Tribolium castaneum: one gene and its partner. The protein of the gene in region 2 purifies or fractionates together with the protein of the main gene of each other region. This does not show direct contact. Links are inferred from orthologs where the notes say so. Each region holds a gene or a part of one and is shown on either strand. Other genes may lie near its edges.

What was found.
Region 1: the proteins of Nup160 (region 2) and Nup43 purify together in Homo sapiens (affinity purification with mass spectrometry; 5 studies listed by BioGRID and IntAct, counting the BioPlex papers as one, with this or other methods). This does not show direct contact. The link is inferred for Tribolium castaneum from reciprocal best matches to the Homo sapiens genes NUP160 and NUP43.

What each region holds. Positions count from the first base shown.
Region 1 is NC_087398.1:14,041,657-14,045,755, reverse strand, and holds the start of Nup43 (nucleoporin Nup43), read left to right. Parts: upstream 1-1,277; 5' UTR 1,278-1,379; coding exon 1,380-1,601; intron 1,602-1,671; coding exon 1,672-2,140; intron 2,141-4,099. UniProt on the Homo sapiens protein: Component of the Nup107-160 subcomplex of the nuclear pore complex (NPC). The Nup107-160 subcomplex is required for the assembly of a functional NPC.
Region 2 is NC_087395.1:25,114,006-25,118,230, reverse strand, and holds the start of Nup160 (nuclear pore complex protein Nup160 homolog), read left to right. Parts: upstream 1-1,421; 5' UTR 1,422-1,517; coding exon 1,518-1,602; intron 1,603-1,651; coding exon 1,652-2,074; intron 2,075-2,235; coding exon 2,236-2,425; intron 2,426-2,475; coding exon 2,476-2,821; intron 2,822-2,869; coding exon 2,870-3,121; intron 3,122-3,339; coding exon 3,340-3,703; intron 3,704-3,756; coding exon 3,757-3,929; intron 3,930-4,225. Other genes in the region: uncharacterized protein LOC655733, read left to right, coding at 375-405, 518-865, 913-1,045, 1,100-1,292. UniProt on the Homo sapiens protein: Functions as a component of the nuclear pore complex (NPC). Involved in poly(A)+ RNA transport.

The sequences.
Region 1 (4,099 bases), on a different chromosome or scaffold from region 2:
ATATTTCATGACAACAATGCAATGGGGCCAGAAAATGATTAGTCTGCAGTAAAAAAGATGTTTATTGCTCACTTCGTCTCACTTTTCAGAACAGATGTTACCATGAGCAGACATGGGGCCTAAGCTGAAGCAAGCCCAAAGAAACCCTAACTTGCGAATCATTTTCTGTCGTCAACTGCACTGTTATAAAATATTACTTTAGTCAATCTTAACTACTCTGCTTGGAAGATAATACAAAATAACTATTTAATATTATTATTGGTTTTAAAATGAGATTTGTGACATACAATAAGGGCCTTACGTTTCACCAAATTATTCTATAAAGTTAAGTGAAACATTTAAACCTGTTCTGATATGTAATGTTCTAAAAACATGTTTTTAAACAGCGTCTTGAAAATAGTCTGTGCAACAGACATTTAATGAGGTTGAAAGTATATGGTGGTGCAGTGTGTGATCTTTTAAATCGCCGGCTTTATTTTTTGCATCATATGAACATTCGCGACATTTAAATATATATTGTTTACAGTACTGAAATAACCATGTCTGTTACTAATAGCAAGTTTTAGAAACACTAATACAAAAAACGTCTCTAAATTGCAACTAACGCAAGCTGTGAATGGAATCACACATTTGATTCAAAGGCACATGTTTAATGTGTGTATAGTGTATCTTATTCAATGGTGTCCCTTTAAATGTAGAAACTGGTTCGTCTCAAAGGAATAATCACGACATTTGTGCTCCTCAAGGGGCTGCTACAACACTAAACTGGCTTAGTGTCTTCCTCAGGCAACAGCTGTTTAATCATTTTCGTCTTCGATTTTTTTATCAATCTGAAAAATTTCTAGGTTAAAAAAGTTGTAAATTGTTTTAGTTTTACTGACCTGTTCCATTTCTTGGCTTTGGGAGAGCTTATCACATACTTTATTTTGTATTTATTACTAAATTCGTCTAATTGCCTTTCATGTAGGGGGGCTTTATAAAGGCCAGTTCTGTTGTTGAAATTTCATGACTGACATCTAGTGGAAAACATTACTGTCAGTGAACAGGTTGCCATGAACGTACACCTACTTCCGTTTCTATAAAATAAACCCCCCACATAAAAAAATCTGTTTTAAATAGTTATTTTATTTTTAAACATAAACTTATTACAGTTCAGCCGTAACAATATTTTCTAAACATTAATCATGTATTCTTATAACGTACTTCTGGCTTAAAAAAATGTAGAGTCGTTAAGCAATTTGTCTTATAGATTTGATACGGAGTATACTCCACCGCACGTATAGTGGGTTGCCTGACAATTATTCAATTATGCTTTCAACGACACAGTGAGGTTATAGCGCCACTTTTTTAATTTTTATGGGCTTAATTATACACAAAATATGGCCCACAACATTCATGGAACATTTGTTTCTGAAAAAGTTAATAAAATCCGTTGGAGGCCCGATTTTATGAATGCCTCGCATTATTTTGTAACCGGCAGTTGGGACAATGACCAAAACAGCATCAAACTTTGGGATTTCCAAGAAAATGAAGAAGATGCCGAAGTTTATCCATTTCTGGTGGCTGAATTTCCACACAACGGGGACATAACTGAAGTTAAAGTATGTATATTACAATCAGTATTGCGATACGAGCCACGTAGCGAGTGAAACAATTTTTGTCATTTTTTAGTTCTTAAACGGCGATTTTTTCGTTGCTTCTTCGTCGTCGGGCTGCGTCAGTCTGCTGAAGATTACTTCCGAACATGGAATTGATCCCTTAATTGAGAGAAAAATTTACTGGGAGGGAGTTCACAAATTTCCCAATGGGGAGAATTGCCCTTGCACTGCCTTTTGCACCTACGACAACGATATTGTGAGCGTTGGCGAAGACGGTTCTATCAATTTGTTAAATGCCCAAAACCAAAACGTTATCCGCACAATTGAAAACGCCGATAGTTGCTCAATTCGTTGTGTGGCTTTTCTGAAGCATAGCGAAATTTTGACCGGTAATTTTCGTGGACAATTGAAGATTTTCGATATTCGGGCCCCTAAAAGCCAACCCGCGACCACTTTCATGTTGAGTGGGGATCAAATCTCGCCATTGTGTCTCCAAAACCACCCTACACAGAGGCATTTGGTGGTAGCTGGCGATGAAGAAGGTACCTATTTTTTTTTTATTTATGTTGGCAAACGCCAAAAATGGTGCCAACTTAAAGGTATTGGCAACTTTCTTTTAAATGATACCAAAATAGTTATTTACATTATACGTGCGGTAGGTATAATTTTACAGCGTGAAGTTTTAATAAAATTGAACGCTGTAAAATGAGTCGTCTAGTTCCAAAACCTGCCGTCTCTATTCAGTATTTTTGTTTAATGTTTAATACAAATGCTGTTGAACAAATAAATTTTAAATTACACTGATATAAAACCTCTTAGAGAGTAGAATTCGATGACCTATACTTTAATTACAATGTTTGAATTTAAAGCCTGCATTTTTTTTAAGGTTGGAGGTGGCAAGTTTTGGAACAAGTTGGAGAGGAGATGGGCGGTTATGGAACAAAATGTCTTTTAAAAATCCTTTTTTTAAGACTAGATAGTGAAATGGAATAAAAAAACTCAAACTACGTATTTGCTGAAATAACATGTGGCTAAAGTTTTAAGTCTTTTAAGGCAAACACATAACTCCAAAAAACAACGCGGAGATAGTTGATTTTGGAACGCATATATAAGATTACTTTACGTAAAGAAATGACATTGATATTTCAAACTTTAATGCAGTTGATGTTAATAACTATTTTTTGTTAGTATTTAGTCCGCCAGATAATTGTGCTAAATCCACATTATCATTAGTACGCAAAAAAATCAACGATAATGGTTCCTTTCGTCTTCAGCTTGCTGCTGTTGATGAAGTTTATGAAATAGTTATAGTGTTGACGAAAATATTTTTATTTTTGATGTTGTGTATAGTTCTGCGTAACTGGCTATGTCTATACCATAAACCAATGAAAACTTCCACAAAACCGCATCAATTATTTTGGGCATCTTCTTAGTACCTGCAAGAGGCTCATTATCTTTTAGGATTCCTTCTTGTAAACAACAATGATCAAAATAATAACTGCAATTGTGGGGTAAGTTTTTGTTGGTTTGCGGTTGACATAGCAAGTAATGTGAGAACTATAAGTATATACCCTATATATACTCAAAATTGACGCCCATGCTTTTAGGATTTGCTTCAGAAGACTAAAACAAATCGAAAGTTAAGAGTGAAAAATTGTCCAATTGTCCTTCGTTATCGAGTTATTGATAAGTATCTAAAATTTAAAATTTGTACATTAAATTTTATTAAAAGCGAATTTACCAAATTTGTTGTCACAAAGTATGCTATAATGCGATTTGGAAACTTTTCCGTGTAGGCCCTAGTCTCAGCAGTGGCATTGCCATCATACAAACATCTTACTTATAACCGAGCTTTTAACATATCGTCAAAATTTCGAATACACTAATAAAGTGGTATCTTATCATTTAACACATACAAAAACGAAGGAAATTAATAATACTCTTTACTAGACACAGTTATTCAAAGAATTTTAATATCGCTAACATCAACTAATCAATTATGTTGCACAAATAATTGGAAAGACAGCTAAAGCTTATTATTTACATTTTTATCAATAACTCTAAAACGAACAATTGGAAAATTTTTTACTCTTAACTTTCGATTTGTATTAATACCCTAAATCAAACTGCCATAGCACAGGCGTCAATTTTGAGACTTTTACTTGTTAGAACGTAATCTATTCAACATTTTTCAAACGAGCGTAAATGGTTGGCTTGGTTAAACGAAACTGATCGAAGAAATTTACATCACTAACAATTTCAAAATAATTTTTCTTTTTCTATAAATTTTTTGTCTTCGCAGTTCGGAAGAAGATAATGAATTAGAAGAAAAAATGAACACTTTCTTAATTTTGTGCAATTCAAAAAACTGACAAATTTAACGTTTGTTAAAGTTGCTTTTGTAATTTGCCGCCGTCTTTACGTCTTTACCTAATCATTATTTGACGAAATATTTTACGAAAATTTTTAGGTTGAAACGCATTTTAAAAATTGAAGTCACT
Region 2 (4,225 bases):
GGAAACAAGATTTTTTTAATTGTTTTATTTTTGTAAAAAGCACGCGTCAGCGGTTGCTCGCGTTAAACGCGCATTTTTCTCATTCGTTTATCGATTAAGAATTTGTAGCAAATTGAGTCATAACATAAGTGAATTTCCTCGAAAAGTGCGCGGATTTTCGTTGACCGATGACGAATCGGTCATTTTTATGCAGCCCCCAATTCATCGCGTCAACAAAATGGGTTCCGCGAGTTTATATTTTTCTGCACATATTGCACTTGTTCCTTTTCATTAAAATGTTGGTTTGAAGAGAAATAGAAGGTCGCGTGACGTTCTAGCGTCTGTATAAATAATCCGCAGTGCACACTTCAAAAGGTCAATTTCCAGGATTGGTCATGAAAATTACAAGTTTCCTCGTTGTTGCAGGTGAGATTTTTGTTTGTAGGTCATGGTTGGCTTGGAAAATGTGACACATGGGTTCGTTTGTTTTGACCCAAGCCCACTCGAAATTACGCAATATTTGACCGAAACTTTTCAGGGCTTGTTTTGGCGAGTGTGGCGGGCCAGCAGGGGAACTCCTCTGACAAAATCTCCAGGTTTATCTATGATAGGTGTCGGGTTTATAGCACAGACGCTTCGGCTTACGATGATATAAAGACCCATTTGGGGCAATTTGGCGATTATCTTTCGTACGCTGCGAGTTTATTGCCCAATGGTAAGGAGCAGTTCTGCAACGACGAAAGGCCCACACTGGCCCGTCTAGCCGCCCAGCTTGCCCATGATGTCAAACCGTGTTTGCCCAAAGACGAGAAGTATTTGCCCAAGTTCATGGTTGAAAGCTTCACCTCATTTCTCGACTTTGTGTGTTCCCAAAGAACCATCGAAAGTAAGATTTAAAATTTTGAAAACTATTTTTTATCAAGGAAAATACAGATTTCTTCAGTACCCAAGGGGCAGATTGCCGCCAAAACTTGAAACTCAACCAAGAGGGGCAACAAGTTGGAAACTGCTTTACTAAACTATTCGCTCGGTTTAGCGACGTGGTCCGGAAAGACGACCTGTGCCTGTAGGTGCCCCCATGATTACAAACCCAACTTTTTCATCTTTCTTCTGATTCTAGTGACTTAAAAGCGTCCAAGAAGTGCTTCAGTGAGGCGATAGCCCGTAGTTGTCCCGATTTCGCCGCTTTTGAGTCGTTAAACAACCGATTTTTCCAAGCAATTCGCAAACCCTGTAACTCAGCTATTTCCATTGGCTTCAGCAGCGTTCTACTCCTCCTAGCATCATTCACTTCAACCAAGCTATTCTCATAGTTATTATATTATCCCTCCACGTATTATAAATGTTATTTTTGTTATAAATGTACGATAAATAAATAAATAAGTAGAATTTTGTCTTATTTTCTGACCCCGCGCCCTCTGGTGGCGAGTTAACCTGAGTTTGAAAATTATCTAACCGCCACTCGCCGACCTTGATTTTTTGTTTCCGTAAACCTAACCTAACTTTTGCACAAAAAACCGTTAAAACGGGCTAAAACCATGCAAGAAATCGCGTTGGGGTACCGGGAGGTGATCCCCGACCAGACGGTGTCCGATCCCTGGCGCGAAATCACCCTCAACACGGGTAATATCACAAAAATCGCCGATTACGTAAAACTGAGGTTATGTAACAGGGGGGACACAAGGGACGCTTCAAGATATCAAAGTCGCGGAAAGGGCCAACGGGTTTTGTTACCGCGACTCGACCAGACACCACACCAGGAATCGGTTTATCTACTGGAGGATTAGCCACGATGTCCTGGAGCTCGTGGAGCACAGTCTCGATATAAATCTCGCCGGAAATCGCATCAGATACAAATTTGTGGACACCCCGATTTTGGACGGGGTTTCCATCCATGAGACGTACGATAATGTGGTGGTTCTGGTGCCCACGGTGTGCAGCGTCCATAGGTTGGTGTTTCCGCATCCGGATAAGTACCACCGGCAGGACCATGTCGCGGGGGTTCACCCAGATCTGGCGGCGCCGTCGGTGTTCAGCGAAGCTACGGCCAACGAGGCGAGGGATCCCGCCACATTCCACTTTTTCACCAATTCGAGTAGGTCTTGTAATTTTTTAAGTCACGAGCCGGAGACGAGTGTCGTAACGAGCAAATCATAATTTTTTTTAAATAGGTTTGCCAAATGGCAAAATTAGATACGTTTGCATGATTATTTAAAATATTGGACTTCTCATGACTAGATGAACCCTTATTTAAAGGTTCTCAGCTGCCATATCTGGCCGCCTCTTCCCTGACCCTCGCTGAGGAGGAAGCAATTTTCGTGTTGGCCTACCACTCCGGCGAGATCCTCCTTCTGAGACAGTCCCCCGAGGGCAAAATCGACTCAGCTGAGCTAAAAAGCGAGTCAATCGTGCCCCGCTTTCTCTCAGGTCTCGCCGACAAGCTGCGGTACAACCCTTCATTTTTTCCGGCCCGGAAAACTGACGGTTTTTTTGCAGCCAAAAAGACAAAGAAGGCGACACTACCGTCAGCCTCATTTTACATACTTTCGGTCTTGAAACTTTCGCTTTGACACTTTGCCGCAACGGTCATTTGAAATTCTGGTCGTGCTCAAAGGCCGAATGTGTCTCAGTGATCGACGTCATGGCCGAAACCGGCGCCAGAAACCAGCTGCAAGGCGCTCAGAACCACATCCTGCGGAAAGCCGTCGATGGGTTTGATTCTGAGTGTCTGTTGGGTATTTTCATGAGTTTCGCAGCCAAGAGTCAGTTGCATGTGTTCAAGCCGATGCTCAGTGGCTCGCAGGTTCGGCTAGTGAGGCTTAATATACTTGATTTGGCTCAGGTGAGTCGTAGGTGGGATAAGTGATAGGGGGTAAGTTTGGGGTTTTAGACCGATTTGATCGATTTTACGATCTCGACAAGTCGGATTTGGTCGGTTTGGCGCGGAAAAGAGGGCCAATGTGAGGTGTATTCGGCCTCGAACCAGGCGGGGAGTCACTGGATTCCCGTGGTTCTGGAAAATGTGCCAGACGCCAGCCAACCGTTGAGCATCGACGGGGAGACGGATCCCAGGCAGAGCTACCTCCAGCACATCTTCCACCCGGGCAGGTTCCCCTTGCATATAATCAGCAAGGCTTTGAACGTAAGTTTTCAAGTCAAGCTGATTTTTTTACTGTATTTTTCGAAAATGTGCCATTTGTTTTTCTCTAAACCTCTTAGTTTCTTATTTGGTTGAGGCACAATTAATGTGACTCCTGGCGACCCGACAAAATAACAAATTGTTGCTTTTCAAACCTTTTATTTAAAAAATATACATAAAAATTATTGCGCGTTTTTTGTCACACCAACTGCTTATTATAGATTTACAAACGCTCGGCCGTCATCAGCGACTTGAACCTCTCGGCGGCCCATCTCAAGCAGCAGATCTGCATGGCCGTCGAAGACGAGGTCCAAAACGAGCTGAAGGAAACCGTCGTCAGCGACGAAGATTATCTCGAAACCGCCAGCTACTGCTGGCAACAATTCTACTCCTGTTGCGTCCAATACCACGTCGCTGGACTTAAACCTTTAGGCCTCCTTGTTCTTCCAAACTCCTCCGGGGCCGTACTTTTGAAAAAATCCATGATTTCGTTTTTGCGACCTCTCGATATTTTTGAACATTTCATCTACGAAAGCGACCACATGTTTAGGGACCAATTCACCAAATATTTCCTCTTGTCTGAGAGTAATTAAACCGCACAGTTAATTAATCAATTGTGATTGGTTCATTTTTTGCAGATGTTGATATCACAGACGACGTGATCAGTTTGTTCAAGGTCATTAATTATTTGGATTCGCAGATGAGTGAGATTTTCGCGTACACGTTCGAACGAGAGTTGGCACTGCTGAAGTCGCCTGATGTCGTCATGGGGGCTCTCCTTGAGCAGATCCAGCGCGAGATGGACACCGAGGTTCGTACTTTTTTTATGTTAAAAAAATATTCTGGGGCTTTTGAGCCCTAAAAAACGTTTTACAATTTATTATCTGGTACTTTTACCGTGGCGCCTGGCGAACCATTCTTATATTTATATCACAGAAAATTTTAATGACAGCTGCTTCTGTTGATATCTGCTCAAATCATTTACGGAAAACTCTTGAAGAATTTTAAAATTATTTAAAGCACTGCAATTTATTGTAGTTTTTGAGCTTTCGCGTATTTTTTCGATCTCGCGTAAATAGTTAAGCAAAAACCGCCCGATTTGTGCTC